Linked DNA regions of Drosophila melanogaster. The protein of the gene in region 1 interacts with the protein of each later gene in a pairwise test. Each region holds a gene or a part of one and is shown in the gene's direction. Other genes may lie near its edges.

Evidence for each region. Proteins that work in one complex are often made in the same cells at the same time.
Region 2: the proteins of Hip1 (region 1) and CG6733 interact in a two-hybrid assay, tested with the Drosophila melanogaster proteins (one large-scale study listed by BioGRID).
Region 3: the proteins of Hip1 (region 1) and Gr58b interact in a two-hybrid assay, tested with the Drosophila melanogaster proteins (one large-scale study listed by BioGRID).

What each region holds. Positions count from the first base shown.
Region 1 is NT_037436.4:12,766,872-12,775,428, reverse strand, and holds Hip1 (huntingtin interacting protein 1), read left to right. Parts: upstream 1-1,855; 5' UTR 1,856-2,118; coding exon 2,119-2,154; intron 2,155-2,209; exon of another isoform or gene 2,210-2,685; intron 2,686-2,845; coding exon 2,846-3,267; intron 3,268-3,326; coding exon 3,327-4,057; intron 4,058-4,113; coding exon 4,114-4,223; intron 4,224-4,287; coding exon 4,288-5,034; intron 5,035-5,090; coding exon 5,091-5,526; intron 5,527-5,592; coding exon 5,593-5,997; intron 5,998-6,054; coding exon 6,055-6,542; 3' UTR 6,543-6,867; coding exon of another isoform or gene 6,868-6,918; 3' UTR 6,919-6,997; downstream 6,998-8,557. Other genes in the region: CG32106 (uncharacterized protein), read left to right, coding at 34-1,432; Vps13D (vacuolar protein sorting 13D), read right to left, coding at 6,868-6,918, 7,077-8,192, 8,250-8,557.
Region 2 is NT_033777.3:23,096,041-23,100,221, forward strand, and holds CG6733 (uncharacterized protein), read left to right. Parts: upstream 1-1,687; 5' UTR 1,688-1,718; coding exon 1,719-1,809; intron 1,810-1,866; coding exon 1,867-2,358; intron 2,359-2,417; coding exon 2,418-2,835; intron 2,836-2,892; coding exon 2,893-3,097; 3' UTR 3,098-3,151; downstream 3,152-4,181. Other genes in the region: CG17109 (uncharacterized protein), read left to right, coding at 1-331, 392-809, 869-1,073; CG6738 (uncharacterized protein), read left to right, coding at 3,534-3,624, 3,679-4,170.
Region 3 is NT_033778.4:21,977,185-21,981,303, reverse strand, and holds Gr58b (gustatory receptor 58b), read left to right. Parts: upstream 1-1,626; 5' UTR 1,627-1,631; coding exon 1,632-2,645; intron 2,646-2,702; coding exon 2,703-2,915; 3' UTR 2,916-3,089; downstream 3,090-4,119. Other genes in the region: Gr58a (gustatory receptor 58a), read right to left, coding at 205-372, 425-1,444; Gr58c (gustatory receptor 58c), read right to left, coding at 3,347-3,523, 3,581-4,119. UniProt on the Drosophila melanogaster protein: Probable gustatory receptor which mediates acceptance or avoidance behavior, depending on its substrates.

The sequences.
Region 1 (8,557 bases):
TGATCTCTTACTTTTAATCCAAACATATTTCAGGAGGAAATTTGGTCTAAACTTCACCAGACTCAATACCAATCAATTTCAAATGGCACCAGCGACTACAAGACACGTTCGACTACAAACCCAGAAAACAAAAAGGACGAAGAATCGAAACTGCAATTCTTCTGTTGGCCAAATGAACGGTGTATTTGTTCTAGCTTCTTCGCCATCTACTAGAACGAATACAGCAGAGCAATCTATTGAAAGGAGAAATAGGAATCTGCAGAATCATCCAGGCGTTTCTGATTCTTTGAGTAACAATCCACCATCCTCAGAAAATAGACGAAAAGCCCCATCCCAAACATCTTACCCAGTACTTAGACGTATTCAAAGAAATGATTCAAACAATTCGCAAGGCGGAAGATTCATTTCGGCCAGCAGCCAATATCCTGACCAGCACAGACAAGATGAATACCTAGCTTGTGATAGAAATAATAGTGACCAAAGCCATCGCGATAGTCATCAAAACGAGGACGGGTCGCATAATTCAGCTATGGTTGGAGCTTCTGGGTATTCTACTGACTTAACTTGGACAGATCCACCTCCGAACTCCCAATTACTAGCTCCCAATACATCGACTGACGTGGAAACACTGGAAACGGTAACCCTAATGCAACCTCGAAAACTTCGTAGTTGTGAAAGTGCTGGGATCAGAAACCAGGCAAATATCAATGGGAACACCGTTCTTATAGAGACAAGAACTCCCTGTAACAGGGAAATTCTACTCCAGACCTGTGGACGACCGCCCTGTAACTCGTGTCCTTATCAATACACGGGTCTTCCTCCGAGTCTCCATCAAGGATTTACGAAGCCACCGGATCATATGCTACAACCGCAGATCTCTGTGAGTGCTCCACAAAATGTCACTCCTTTCGATGAAGGGTACCTTATAGATCCGCGGGATCAGTGGATGCCCACTAAGTCACCAGCTTCAGCACCAGCCGTGCAGCATCAATTTCAAATGAAGGAACAATGTCAGCCGGATCATGGATCCTATCATCATTTTCAGGAATCTGTACATACTTCAGACCCAAGTTCCTCTCAGGCCAGAAACCCTGACTACAATCCTCAACTAAAAGAGAACATTCGAATGCTTCCAGATGGATTCTATGAACGCACCGTGAATAAGTATAATATAACACGCATGGATTCCAACTTCCAGCCACCGGAATTTTCACTGCAGCCAAATTTTGTTCACGGAGAACAGCATCCTACTTTCAGACACCACGCTTGTCCTTATAGCAATCAATATCATCATCCGCAACTGATGATGACATCCGTTCCAGATCCCAATCGACGTTACATTCCACCACAAAACCAATACCCAGCCGAGATGTTTTGGCCACAGCAAAATGTACATTTGGATTACTATGATCAATCGGAATACCAAATTTAATCCAAACAGTTGGAAGAATACATTAAATTAAAATTACTTTAAAAACAAATTAAAATTGTCGTTCTTTTATTTAAAGTAAAAATATGGTAGCAGATCTATAAATATCGAACAAAATCTATCTTTTTAGAAAATCAGTACACAAAAATTTCAAAAACACATTCTAAAGCTTTTTTTTAAACCATCGTATAAAATCAAATTAAATTAAATTTTTAACTTAACTGAAGTTTTATTGAAAGCGTTCGATGTTATAATTTAAATATTGGTTCATTTAAGTGTATTTCAATTCAAATATCCTTCGATTTAATGGAAAAAAATAAAAATTTGCAAAACATTTTTTTTCGCGCTCAAAATGGTGATGCAAGAAGTTGATGACTATCGAAACGAATCGATAGGGTAAAGCCCGCATATCGGAACACCGCCCAGCTCTATTAACTTTTATCGATAAAGGAAAACAACATTTGTTTATATGACTAATTTACTCTTACACTCATTGTTTCATACACGCACACGATCGGAATCCGAATGAATACGAACGCGACCAATACGAAAACAATGGCCAACATTGTTGATAAGATAAGATAACTCCCGTTTCCAATGTCTTTGCTGTCTTTGCTCTAATGCACATATATCGCGCTGCGAATGATTCGAATTTGTTCAGCAAGTACGCCAAGAATTGTCAGTAAACAATGGCAACTCACGCCGAAAAGGAGTTCTACCACCTGGTACGTAAGCCCAAAGGAAAGCCAAGAAAACCGCCAAGAATACCCACAGCAGATTATAGGCACACGGATGTTGTCATATCATGTGCATAGTGTAAATACCTAAATGTTTATGCACACAACTACAGGCGCGCCGCTCAAATATGCATAAACATTTCACTTAAGAAGTCAGCCTTGAACCAGATTATATGGAACAGCTCGAAATATCATCAGCTTTTCACACGACTTGCAACACCACAGAGACTACACTACATGCTAATCCCAAGTTTCTCCGCTTCGGATGACCCAGAAAATTAGAAACTGCAATGAATGCTATGCGGACTACATCCACTTTGATCAATTGTTCAATGTGCACACAAAGGCCTTTCAAATTTTTTGATTATCAACCCAAATTCGGCACGATAAGAAGTGAAATCCAGTATTTAGATTACCTTCTGTTATCATAAATTCATATCAAACACATGGTGTAGGTGTTTGGAATCTTATTTTTAAAAGCATCGAAATGTTTGCACTTCCAAACTAAATAGTCGATCAGTGAGTCACCCCCTTTAGATCGAATTCCACTAAAAAGTATAAAACTATAGATATCGTCCGCCAAAATCCGTCCATATCTTATAAGCTGAGTCAGTCACTTCTTCGAAAGTGTACAACAATAAAAAGCCATTTAAACTATAATATTTACATTTCATTTCAGAACGTCAGCGTGTCCAAAGCTTTAAATGGCCTGGAAGCGCCACTCAAAACCAAACATGCCCGCTCCATTATTATTATGATACACAAGGCCAAAGAGGCCAAAACATTCTGGATGATCATCTCCCGGCAGCCTTTGATGCAGAGTAGATTTACTGCCTGGAAGTTTTCGCATCTGCTGCACAAGGTCCTGCGAGAGGGTCATGAAAGTGCCATCCGCCACTCGCAGAGCCACAAGAAGATGATACTGGAGGTGGGAAAAATGTGGGGCCTGCTGCAGGACGATATTGGATGCTGCATACAGGCGTATAGTAAGCTCTTGGCCACAAAATTAAACTTCCACGACAAAAATCGAATGTTTCCCGGCACCCTGAACATTTCGTTCACGGAACTCTTCATTGCTGTGGATAGGGATTTAAATTATTGGTAAGTAAAAATAGATATATATTACTTTCAAACTACTGAGACAGAACCATTGATTCCAGTTTTCAACTGTGCGTGGAAATTTTCGACTACTTGGAGGATATAATTGCGCTGCAATTGACGATATTTTCATCTATGGAAAAGTACAGAATGTCGTCGATGACACCGCAGGGACAATGTAGATTAGCGCCAATAGTTTGCCTTATCCAGGATTCCAATGCGTTGTACGATTTAAGCGTTCGGTTAATGTTTAAACTACACGATGGTGTACCATACGACGTTGTTTCCGGACACAGAGATCGCTTTCACGGTCTGTTTTTAAAGTTGAAGAGTTTTTACAACAACGTGCGACCGCTTCAGTATTTCAAGGACCTAATAACAATCCCGGAATTGCCGGACTCAAGTCCTAACTTCAAGTCCCAAAACGATTTCACCAGTTATGTACCGCCAGTGGTTCACGTTCCCCAGGAGCCCGATCCGGTTGTTGAAGACCTTGTGGATACCAACAATCACGAGCTGGAAGCCTTCAGTCAAGCCCAGCAGCAGCTTAGCATGTTGGAGGGTATAATCAGCGAGAAAGAGGCTAGCATTGAGGAGCTGTCATTCAAATTGGACGCAATGCAAAAAAATTTCGACGCACTGCAGCAAAGCTACAGACACGACGTTCAGGAGTTGCAACAGAACAATACTGTGCTGTCAAATGATCTGGTCTTGGCGAGAGAAATGTGTGCCACCTTTCGGATGCAAAATGACGATCTTGAGATGCAACTGAATCAGAACCCAATTCTTTTACGTAATTAAATGCTTATTAAACATAATGAAGTCATATAAAAATACCTTGTATTTCAGAAAAAGCTATGGAGGAAGAAGAAAAGCACAAGTTGTCGTCGGAAAAGTTTAATAAACTTAAAACTCTATACACAAAGATTCGAGATGAGCACATTCAGCTGCTGAGAGAGGTATGCAGAAACACAATATTTTCTATTTCCTATACTAATATTCATTCATATACTTTTATATCAGCAAAGTGATTGCAACAAGTCCTTAAATAAAGAGAAACAAGTAAACTCACAACTATTGTTGGAAACTAAGGAGCTTACCAATGAAATTTCCAAAATTAAAGTAAACGTAGAGGAAAAAGAGAAAACAAACTTGATTCTGCAAAAGCAAATCGAAGAGCACAAGGAGAAAATAGCACATCTTGAAGCAGTCAAAAACGAGATGAAGGAGAAATTCGATGATGTGGTTAAACAAAAGGAAATTCAGGAACTCGATATTATTTCCACTTCCGAAAACCTGAGGCTAAATTGCCTCAAAGTCGAAGAGCTTAATGGAAACCTCAATGACACCCTGGAAAAACTGTCGAACGCCGAAAGCCAAATAAATGCAAAGACCGAGGATATCGAGAAAATGCTAAAAGCTTTTGAAGCGGAAAAGGCATTGCTCTTAACTCAGATTGAACAACAGAGTGTTGAAAGTAAAAGCCATAGTGAAGCTCAAAACGCTCAATTGCAAGAAATAATGGATAACTTGGAACAAAAGGATAAAGAGTTCAATGAAGTTAAGCTTCAGCTGTCCAGCGCAGAAAGCCAAATCAGCTTAAAGGCATTGGAAATTCAAAACAATTTAAAGGCATTTGAAGCGGAAAAATCAGTGCTATTAACTAAAATAGAGCAGTTAGGTATAGAGCATAAAAACAACAGCGAAGCACAAAATGCTCAATTGCAGCTAACTTTAAACAACTTGGAGCAAAATGAGAGTGCATTACAGGTAAATGAAACCAATTTAAATCAAGAAAATTATAGAAACTGCTTTTCTTTCTTCAGCAAACCCAGGAAATTGTGAATCAATTGAGGCAGGAAAATGCTTCAGCGGGTCAGCGTAACGAGGATTTGCAAAGCAAACTCTCGCTTACTGAGGTAAAACTAACCCAAGCAACACAGCAAATTGATGCCGTGACAAGTTCGTACCAAATCTGTAGTACCGATTTGAGTGAACTCAGAAAATTGGTGATCAAGACTGTAAAGGAAATATGCAATTCGAAGTTGAGCGGATCGGAACAACAGCCTTTGGATGCGGTGCCAAACATAATACGCGAAATGGAGACCATTTTAAATAAGTTCAATAACGCATCGGCTATAAACTATGTTGCTTCAACCGAAGGACTGCAAAATGTTATGTATCTGGGTTATGTATTTATAAAACTATACGATCAATGTGATGTTATCTACAAAACAACAACTGCAATTGAGACAGGTCAGGGTAAGTTGATAACACTAAAAACATAACCACCTACAGCAAACTAACTTTGTATTACTTATTTTGCAGAAATTTTCTCAAAAACAAATTTGTTATGTACCGATATCTGTCAATTGTTCCAATACTTATTAAATAATGAAACAAAAGAACCCGAGAGACAGAAAACAATCACTGATATACAAACAAAGCTGAGAGATATTGAAAAGCTGATTGAGAAAATAAAGGCATCATTTGAACAGAAGATTGATTTAGATAAGCTGCTCGAAATCGAGCTTCGCGAGATGGACGCTGCGATTGATGATGCAGCCTCCAAAATTACAGATCTACTGGCAAAGGCTCGAGAGAAGGACAACCAAACCAATTTAGAGGTAAACGGAAAAATAGTGGATGCGTGTACCACCTTGATGGAATGTGTCAAAGCTCTAATCCAAAAATCTCGTCTCCTGCAACACGAAATCGTGGCTTCCCAAAAAGGTAGCTAACAATATTTTTTAATTCAATGAAGTTACTGACAAGTAATTACTCTTTCAGGAAATGCGAGTGCTAATGAGTTTTATAGGCGGAACAGTCAGTGGTCAGATGGTTTGATATCCGCCTCGAAAAGTGTGGCGAAGGCAGCCAACTATCTGGTGGAAGCTGCAAACAAGGCTATTGAAAGTGAATCTGGCAAGAACTTTGAACTCATTGTGGCTGCCCAAGAAATTGCTGCCTGCACGACCCAAATGGTTATTGCGAGCAAAGTCAAGGCTGAACGTAATAGTCAAAAGCTAACCGACCTCACAAAAGCCTCGCGAAGCGTAACGCAGGCAACAGGAACTCTGGTCGCCACCGTGAAGGATTGCAACTCCCAGCTGGAGCAGCAGAGTGAAATAGAACTTTCTAAGCTAACGCCATCACAGATTAAAACGATGGAAATGGAAATTCATGTTAAAGTACTCGAAATCGAACAAGCTCTCCAAATGCAACGACTAAAACTCTCATCGTTTCGTAAGGAGCATTACAAGAATGCCGATTATTAAATACCATATTTATTAATGTTACTAACTTTACAAACATTCTTTTTTGTATTAATGCCCGTCATGACAAATAATATATCTACACAATATTTACACTGCGGTCATTTTATCCTACAATGAATCCGTAATATCTGTTTATAGTATTCCGTGTCGATCGCTTTTTGATCCTTGATTTATATCACACCATAGTATGTGGGTTCATTATTTCTTAAATGTTTATTTTACTTACTACTTGAAATTAAAATAGCACTTATTGCCAAAGAAAATAAAATGTAACATTTGTTGTCAAAAGGTTTTTGTTTATTATCACGAACCGACCTATTGCATTTTATAAAACGGCATGTTCACGTTCATCAAAGACACTTTTAGCGTAGTTTATCTAAAAGAAAAAGACAAGTATGGAATATATGTGATAATCATTTCAAAATTTGTAAAAGTAAATAAATTATATGATAAACAAAGTCTGCGCTTCAACAATAATAGTTTATTATTGAAAGATAATTTCTACTAATTTCTGCTAAGATGATTTCTACTTACGCATCTTGATGCTGCCTCAGCACATTCCTCGGAACGACACCGTATCCTGGGCCTGGTAATCTTTGGAAGATTGGTTGATATCTCGATGTAGTGACTGGCCGACGCCCTGCTGCTCGTGGTTGGCGTTGTGCCGGCATTCGTTACCACTGGATGGCACGAAAGAATCTCACTAACATGACATTCAAACATAATGGTTGGATTGGCGTCGCTTAGTGAAAAGATTCGTACGTATTCTGTAGAAACCAGCAAGCGCAATCTAGCCTCCTTGTCGCTCCATAGATTGGGTTCATATGAAATTATCTTCTCCGAAAAGTTCTTTTGATTGATTAGGTACAGATATTGCTGCCCCTTGCTTTGGCGATTGGAATACAATGGCAAAAGACCACCAGGAGCACCAGTCACACATCTGGGTAGCCTTTTCCTTTCCGGAGCGTTTCTGTGACTATCTCGGCTTGTTTCACGAACGGCACTGGCAGTTTCCGATGCCAGGTCCAATACACCAATGATCGGTTTGGTGACAGTGCCTACTAAGCCCTTTCCCAATCCACTGAGAAAGCCAGGAACGCCATCGGAAGTGGCACCATCGTAAGTGTGTCTTACAATACTCGTTACTCCGCCCAGCAGTCCAAATCCGAGACCCTTCAGACCCGCTGCAAGGTGACCGCCGGATGTATTGGACTGCAGTTCCAGAATGCGTTGCCTCGTCTCATTGTCGTGATCATCCAGCACAACTTTTCCCAGGCTATCGGACAGCGTTTCTGTTAGCTTCGCCGTCGAATTCGATATGCCATGCGTAACATTTTTCACCAAACTCTTGACGGAGCCCTCAAAAATCAGTCCGGATACTCCTTCCGAAAGATCGTTGGCAAATCCCAATGGATTACCAAGGAAATCGACGCTGCCCAAAATTGCAGCCGCATGCCATTTGACTTGGTTGATGTAGTGCTTCTTCAGCTCCTTCCGATAAACGTCCATCGTCTCAAAGTGCAATTTATCCGAATACCTGTCGAGTTCAATCAAGGCATCTTCGAATTTTATTAGAGTGAGTCCAAGTGCCTTCTTGGTTTCATGCAACTCCACCGGCAACTTTGAAGAAGTGAATGCTGAAAGTCGAACCTTTAAAGAGAAAATTGAGTTGTTTAAGACCATTAAGTCTAGATTTTAAAAAATTACCTGAGTTGCGCCAATACTTAAGTTCTCAAAATAGTATCTCTTCATATCCTGCAGAAAAGGCTTATCATCCGTGTTCTCGAATTGGTATTGCACACTTAAGTTCTGACGGTTGATCTTGCCGTAGCCCAGGAATGAAGCCACTTTAAGTATCAGCTTCTCCTCCAGACTCGCCGTTGAGGGTTTCAAGTCCAGAGTTAAGTACTTGAAAATGATTGCATTCTTGTTGGGCGAAGGTAACATTTTCAGTTTGAGAACAACTGCATTTTGTGTTTCTTCAAGATCATTCGAAGTTTGCGTGTGCAATGCAA
Region 2 (4,181 bases), on another chromosome or scaffold:
CCGGTGTTCCGTGACAAGTGGACCCACGATCCCTTCGCTGCCGATATCGATGAGGAGGGCAGGATCTTTGCGCGCGGTACTCAGGACATGAAGTCGGTGGGCACAGGATATCTGGGTGCCATCCGCCTGCTTAAGGCAAGTGGTGTCCAGCCCAAGCGCAATTTCTTCGTGACCTTTGTGCCCGATGAGGAGATCGGCGGCGAGCTGGGCATGCAGGAGTTCGTCAAAACGGAATACTACAGCAACATGAATGTTGGTTTCAGTCTGGACGAGGGCGGCACCAGTGAAATAGATCTGTTCTATGTCTTTTATGCCGAACGTATGCGATGGGGTGAGTAATCCTTGAGACACATCTAGGACTAGAATCTAAACTATATCCCCTCTTTGGCAGGTCTCAAGCTGAATTTCAGTGGAACCTCTGGACACGGCTCCATGTTGCTGCCCAGCACTGCCGGCGTGAAACTGAACTATGTGCTCAACAAGCTGACGGAGTTCCGCGAATCGCAGGTTCAGAGGCTGGCCAATGATCAGACAATCAACATCGGTGATGTGACAACTATCAATCTCACCCAGCTGAGCGGTGGAGTCCAGAGCAATGTGGTGCCTCCTCATTTCGAGGCTGTCTTCGACATGCGTCTGTCCATCACCCTGGATGTGGTTGCCTTTGAGAAACAGATCCACGATTGGTGCGAGGAGGCAGGTGGCGGCATCGAGATCTCCTTCGACGAGAAGGAACCCTACGTGGCACCCACAAAGATCGACGACTCCAATCCATTCTGGCTGGCTTTCAAGGCTGCCACCGATGAACTGTAAGTCTGAATCGAATGCTCAACAATGCGTGTTCCTAATACGATTTGTATGTTTATAGTGGCCTTAAGATCTACCCCATTGTCTGCCCCGGTGCCACCGACAGCAGGAACATTCGAGCTCAGGGCATTCCAGCCTTGGGATTCTCACCCATCAAAAATACCACCATGCGCATCCATGATCACGATGAGTTCTTGGGCGCCGAAACTTATTTGAAGGGCATTCAAATATACAAGAAAATTTTGGGCAACCTAGCGAATGTCTAAAAACTAAATCGAAATAATACATGAAAACCTTATCAAAATAAAGATTGATGATTTTGTTATAAGTTAGTACAAAACTTCCTGGCCTTTTATCTTATCTCAACGAATACCTTAATCAACTTAAGATCTGAAGAATACAACTTGCTATCCTTGCGACAGCAAGTAGATAATGGATGTATCTACATTTTGCTGTATCATCATAGATAGCAAGTTGGAAGACTGGGAAGCCCATTAAATCCAAAATAATCACTTGATTTTTTCAAATCGAAGGTCATCAATCAAAGCTTCGTCATTTTAATTGAATTTGTCATAATTTTACGATATGATGGAAAATATTGAAAAATACATGACAACTTACCAAGAACTTGAGGTTTCAAAGGTTGAGGTTGCATAGATAATACGCAATGAACTCATTTCTGTGTAAGTTGCATAGATAATACATAATGAACTATTTGCCGCTTAGAAAAGTTACTTATTCGGATAATAGACGTGTGGGTTTTGCAGATAAGGGCGTTACTATCGCAACCACATACACTTTTGATAAGCATTTAAATTCCTTGACCATAAACATGAAAGCAATCAGTGTGATTATAAAAGCACAGACAATCTTTGTTGCAGCTCAGTTGCTGATGACAGAAGAGTGTCGAAATGAGCTCGGAAAAGTGGGAAAACAATGAGGAAATTAAGATTTTCCGGGAATACTTGCGTATACCAACGGTGCATCCAGATGTTGACTATAGTGAGGACTTAATTTTAATTCTTTAAAGTTTGCGTTATAATGTCTTTCAATGTCTAGCTGCCTGTGTGGAGTTCCTGAAACGTCAGGCTAGCTCCCTAAATCTTCCTGTTGAAGTGGTTTATCCTGCTGTTCAAACGAAGCCCGTTGTGATCATCAAGTGGGAAGGAAGTCAACCCGAACTATCGTCCATTGTTCTCAACTCTCACACGGATGTGGTGCCAGTTTTTCGAGAGAAGTGGACCCATGAACCCTTCTCCGCCGATATTGATGAAGAGGGTAGGATCTTTGCACGGGGTACTCAGGACATGAAATCGGTGGGCACTCAGTATCTAGGAGCGATTCGCCTGCTGAAAGCTAGTGGCTTCAAACCAAAAAGGAATTTGTATGTGACCTTTGTTCCCGACGAAGAGACTGGTGGTCATCTGGGCATGGCGGAGTTTGTTAAGACGGATTACTACAAGAAAATGAACGCGGGATTCAGCCTGGACGAAGGCGCCACTAGTGAAAGTGACGTTCATCATTTGTTCTACGCCGAACGTTTGCGATGGGGTAAGTTCCATAAGGATGATGATGATGGATTGGGGACATTACCGTTTCGCTTTATGCAGGACTCAAGCTGAAAGTCAGTGGAACTTCTGGTCATGGTTCCCTTTTGCTACCCAATACGGCAGGAGTAAAACTGAACTATCTGGTCAACAAACTGACTGAATTCCGCACCTCGCAAGTGGAGAACCTTGCGAGAGATTCCAGCCTCAGCAAGGGCGATGTGACCACCGTGAATCTCACCCAGTTAAGTGGCGGAGTCCAGAGCAATGTGGTTCCGCCACTTTTCGAGGCGGTCTTCGACATACGGATTGCCATTACTGTGAATGTGGTTGCCTTTGAGAAACAGATTCGCGATTGGTGCGAGGAGGCGGGTGGTGGCATTGAAATTGATTTCTTCCAGAAGGAGCCTTATATAGGACCCACCAAGCTGGACAATTCCAATCCCTACTGGCTAGCTGTCAAAGCCGCAATCGATGAGCTGTAAGTACCGACTAAAAATTAACTATAATGGCTAATCGAAATCCTCCTGTGTTTTAGTGGATTGAAGGTTCATCCCATCGTTTGTCCTGGCGCCACTGACAGTCGTTTCATTCGGGAGAAGGGTACCCCAGCCATTGGATTCTCACCCATTATAAACACCACCATGCGGATCCATGACCACGACGAGTTTCTGCAGGCTGATGTGTATCTTAATGGCATTGATGTGTACAAGAAGATTATTCGCAATCTGGCTGAAGTCTAAACAAAATGTTTGAACTACATGGATCGTGGCTATAATAAAGATGGGCTAATTACTAAAGTGTGCCTCGTATCTTCATTTTAGAGAGTAATCTTATCAAAAAAAAAAAAAGATTCAAGAGTTTAATTTGAAATTCCGTGTTTATCTCAATATTGTTTGTTGATTCTTTGACTTTCGCCTCCTTGATCAAGATATAAATGATTCTGATGGGAATTCTGTAGCAGATTGTCAACTATACTGCTTCTTGTCACTACCTCGACTGCCATCCAAAGTGACTTGCAATATAGTCAGAATTGGAAGAGATCTGCCGCCCATTGATAACGATTTTCTTATCATATACGCATAATCACTTTTGTGGCACGATCCAAATGCATATAAAGACAGCGGATGCCTTTAGCTGCTTATTTCTACTTTACCATCCTAACGATTCATATTAAAAATGAGTGCCGAAAAATGGGAAAAGAACGAGGAAATTCGAATATTCCGGGAGTATTTGCGAATTCCATCTGTACACCCTAATATTGATTATAGTAAGGTCCTTATTTTAATATTTCCTTAAATGCATTAGCACTATTCATTTTTAGCTGCTTGTGTGGAGTTTATTAAGCGGCAGGCAGATTCCCTCAATCTGCCCGTGGAAGTAGTTTTTCCAGCTGTTAAATCAAAACCTGTGGTGATCATTAAATGGGAAGGAAGCCAGCCAAAGTTGCCCTCAATCATTTTAAGCTCGCACATGGACGTGGTTCCTGTATTCCCGGAAATGTGGACCCATGAACCCTTCTCCGCCGACATCGACGAGGAGGGTAGGATCTTTGCACGAGGTGCTCAGGACATGAAATCGGTGGGCACTCAGTATCTAGGAGCTATACGCCTGCTGAGGGCTGATGGCTTTCAGCCGAAAAGGACGCTCTATGTAACCTTTGTTCCTGACGAGGAGATTGGAGGCATCCATGGCATGGCAGCGTTCGTTGAAACTGACTTTTACAAACAAATGAATGTGGGATTCAGCTTGGACGAGGGTGGAACTAGTGCTTCTGATGTTCATCACTTGTTCTACGCCGAGCGTATACGATGGAGTGAGTAGCCC
Region 3 (4,119 bases), on another chromosome or scaffold:
CTCTCAGTGTGCACACATGGTGTACATATGTACATTTATTGAAATTATTTGTTGCCTAATTTGATCCTGCTTCTGGGCGTCAAAATATATTATGATTTTTGACAATAAGAAGGATTTTGGCCAGCCAAATACATACATATGTACATAAGGAATTATACTTATGTACATATGTTATTTAGAGCTTAGAGCTTCTGTTTATCACTTTTAATTTCTTTTTTCAACTTTATTTTTTAAATCAAATTGTACAAGCACCAAAACTTGAACCAGCACATAGAAAAAATAAGCCAAACTCGTTTGCTTATTGAAAATAAATAGTCCACAGACCTTATACGTTGACGGATGACAACGAAGGTGATCCGAGAAAAGTTCCAGCTAAAAATGTATGAAAAATTTTATATCGTATATTTTACCAGAAAAATGCTACCTGCAAATGAAAGTCCCTTTTGACCAGCTCCAGATGACTGAATTCTCGCAGGAGGTCTCCCATTTTCAGGTCACTTCTCCGCGTCACGTCATCCACAACATTCATGAGCAAAACAGCACTCCAGTAATGAGAAATCACCACCCACTGTCCCACGATTCTTGTGTAACTTGAGGTTTCTATGGTATCGTTGCCAAATTGCACTCCATGATAAACCAGATTCACGTTTGTAACAAACATTTTCAGCAAAAGAAGGGCGATGGGCAAGTCAAAGGTTCGAAAAACTTCTCGGACTAATCGCTGATTTTCCGCAAAAAGTTTAAAGAGCTTAGCCAATTTTCCGAGGGATCTATTGGCCTTGTTTTCTGATAAAGTCAAGGAGTTGCGTTCTTCATGATTAAGAAAGGAGCACAAGTCCTTGAGTGCTATTTGAAGTCTCTCACTTTGCCAGTGGAGAACTAATAGGATCACACATATTCCCGTCATCATAAAGACCACATATATAAACTGTGTAATATGGGCTACAATCATTGCAGTTTTACTAATTCTTTGTACTGAATGAATTCTAAACAAAATTAAAGCCCCCAGCAGAATGCTGAGATTTGCGACGAGTAACATCTGGAAAAGTACATTTCGAACTCTTTTCCGCAATTTAGAATACTTCTTAGAACGATTATCCAGTGTTTTGCACTTAAGACAGTGAAGTATTAAGTTTTCACCCAAATTCAAGATCCTTTTTCTTCTGAACCACATCAGGAGAACGCCCGAAAACATGGCCATAATACGGGTGATGTTGGTTAGATTAAATGTCCATTTCAGGACTGGATTGCTGCTCATGTAGCTGTCGTCGTACATGTAGTGGGGAAATGTGAAGGGCAGGACGGTCAGTAGACCGCCGTGCAGGCAGGCCGTATAGATGAGGTACCATCTCTGCTTATATCCCAAAAGAAACTGTCCTTTCTTCAGAGGAGCAGGCATCAGACCACAGCCTATTCCATATATGTACATGAATTTCAACAGCATTTCGTACAACTGCTTCCGGCAAAGGACACCCGTCAACTGTTCTATAAAATCGATGGAAGCTCTGTTATCCTGATGGAAATCGGAGAACCTGTCTGCTCATCGTAATTCCATCAGTAAGCTTTATATCCTAATTAGTTGTCTGCCGCGTTTAGGACGTGGTCAGTTACCTGGCTGCCTTGACTGCAGCATGTTGCATCCGAAACTTGGTCGCGTGATGAACGTGGTCTACTACCATTCCGTTGTCTTCGCCCTAATGAGCACTACCCTAAGGATACGCTCCTGCAGGAAATGCCTACGCTTGGAAAAGGTCTCGCGAACTTACACCATCTACAGTTTCTTTGTGGGCATATTCCTGTTTCTAAACTTGTACTTCATGGTGCCTCGGATCATGGAAGATGGCTACATGAAGTACAACATAGTCCTGCAGTGGAACTTCTTTGTGATGCTCTTCCTTAGAGCCATCGCTGTGGTGAGCTGCTATGGAACCCTGTGGCTAAAGCGCCACAAAATCATTCAGCTCTATAAATACTCGCTGATATATTGGAAGAGGTTCGGACACATAACGAGGGCCATAGTGGACAAGAAAGAACTCCTTGACCTACAAGAGTCCTTGGCCAGAATAATGATCCGGAAAATAATATTACTCTATAGTGCTTTTCTGTGCTCCACTGTGTTGCAGTATCAATTGCTCAGTGTGATTAACCCACAGATTTTCCTGGCTTTCTGTGCCCGGCTCACGCACTTTCTGCACTTCTTGTGCGTGAAAATGGGTTTCTTCGGGGTACTGGTTCTACTGAATCATCAATTTTTGGTAATCCATCTGGCCATAAACGCTCTTCATGGTAGGAAAGCCCGGAAGAAATGGAAAGCTCTGCGTTCCGTAGCCGCCATGCATCTGAAAACCCTTCGATTAGCCAGAAGGATCTTTGACATGTTTGACATCGCTAATGCCACGGTGTTTATCAACATGTTTATGACCGCTATTAATATCCTTTATCATGCCGTCCAGTACAGCAATAGCAGCATCAAGTCAAATGGTTGGGGCATCTTATTTGGCAACGGATTGATCGTTTTCAACTTCTGGGGCACCATGGCGCTGATGGAAATGCTGGATAGTGTGGTGACCTCCTGCAACAACACTGGCCAGCAACTAAGGCAACTTAGCGATCTACCAAAAGTGGGTCCAAAGATGCAAAGGGAGGTGAGTGTGCTCAGCCTCAAACAAAATTTAATATATACTAAACAATATTCCACTTAGTTGGATGTTTTTACCATGCAGCTGAGGCAGAATCGGTTGGTCTACAAAATATGCGGAATTGTGGAGCTGGACAAACCCGCTTGCCTTAGTTATATTGGCTCCATTCTGAGCAACGTCATTATCCTCATGCAGTTCGATTTGAGACGGCAAAGACAACCCATCAATGATCGTCAATATCTCATCCATTTGATGAAGAACAAAACAAAAGTGTAAAGAAAATCATATATCTTATATCTATCTACCTAAATGTTCACCATTTATACACGGTTTTTTTTTTTACCTTGATATGATACATAAACGTAAATCAATCAAGCTTTCAGAACTTTACACGAAAATAGAAAGCTTTCTCGCAGCTTACAGGACTCTCAGTCATGGGAGTTTTATAGGATATCAAATTCGAATTGAAAGCTATGATTTTGTGGCTTTCTTGTATAGCGGATAATTTTAAGATGTCTCCAAAAGAGTTATGTATTGGGGCCAGCTAGAAATAAATACATACATATGTTCCTTGTTTTCTATAAAGCTTAAATATATAATGTTTTATATAAAATTTGGAAGATTTTAGCAGACCTTCGAACCCAAAAACATTTTGTCAAATTACTTGATATTGAAATTTAATTGGATAACTTTACACACATTATTTTTCAACCATATTTTTTATAGGCAATCTGACACAGAACTAACACATTGGTTATTATACTTCTGGTCATGTTGTGAACGGTTAAATTACTCAAATCGAACAATCCAACGATGTGCAGACGTCTCACACGTTTTGGATTCAGTTGAAGTTTGCGATTCATGTAGAGCAGGGAAAACTCTAACTAAAATAAAGCGTTAGTCATTATCTTTGCACTATGAATTCAATACAAAATATTTACCTTTCTTGACAGAATCGTTCCACTGCTTTTAATGCATTGCCTTCCCGAATAATTGATGTCCCACAGATTTCCGACATCTTCTAAAAGTCCCAACCACTTACAGCGGTTGATCTCGAAAATGGAAAATTGCATTACGATTTCGACGTGATGGGTCAGAAAAATAATCGCATACAATATGCCCTTCCATAAATGAAAGTTTTTATCGAACTCCAAATAAATCCACAATCGAAACAAAACAGCAATGCTGAATATATAAGTGGTTAGCAGGTTGAAGAGCACCTGCCACTGGAAGATGTCAACGAACTGCTTGAGCAACGCATCCAAACGGCGACAGCGTCTCCAAAGTTTTCGCCAGGCGGCAAGGATTTGCATCAGTCCCATCTCCCGCGGAATGCCATTCCGTTCGGGCAAGACCTCTAGATCTTGGACCATTTCCCGAACCCCCTGGGTCATATTTACCAGCAGCCAATTGCCAGCCACTTCGACCATATAGACTGTCATATCCACATAGCTCATTAATAGAATCATGATTAAGGCAT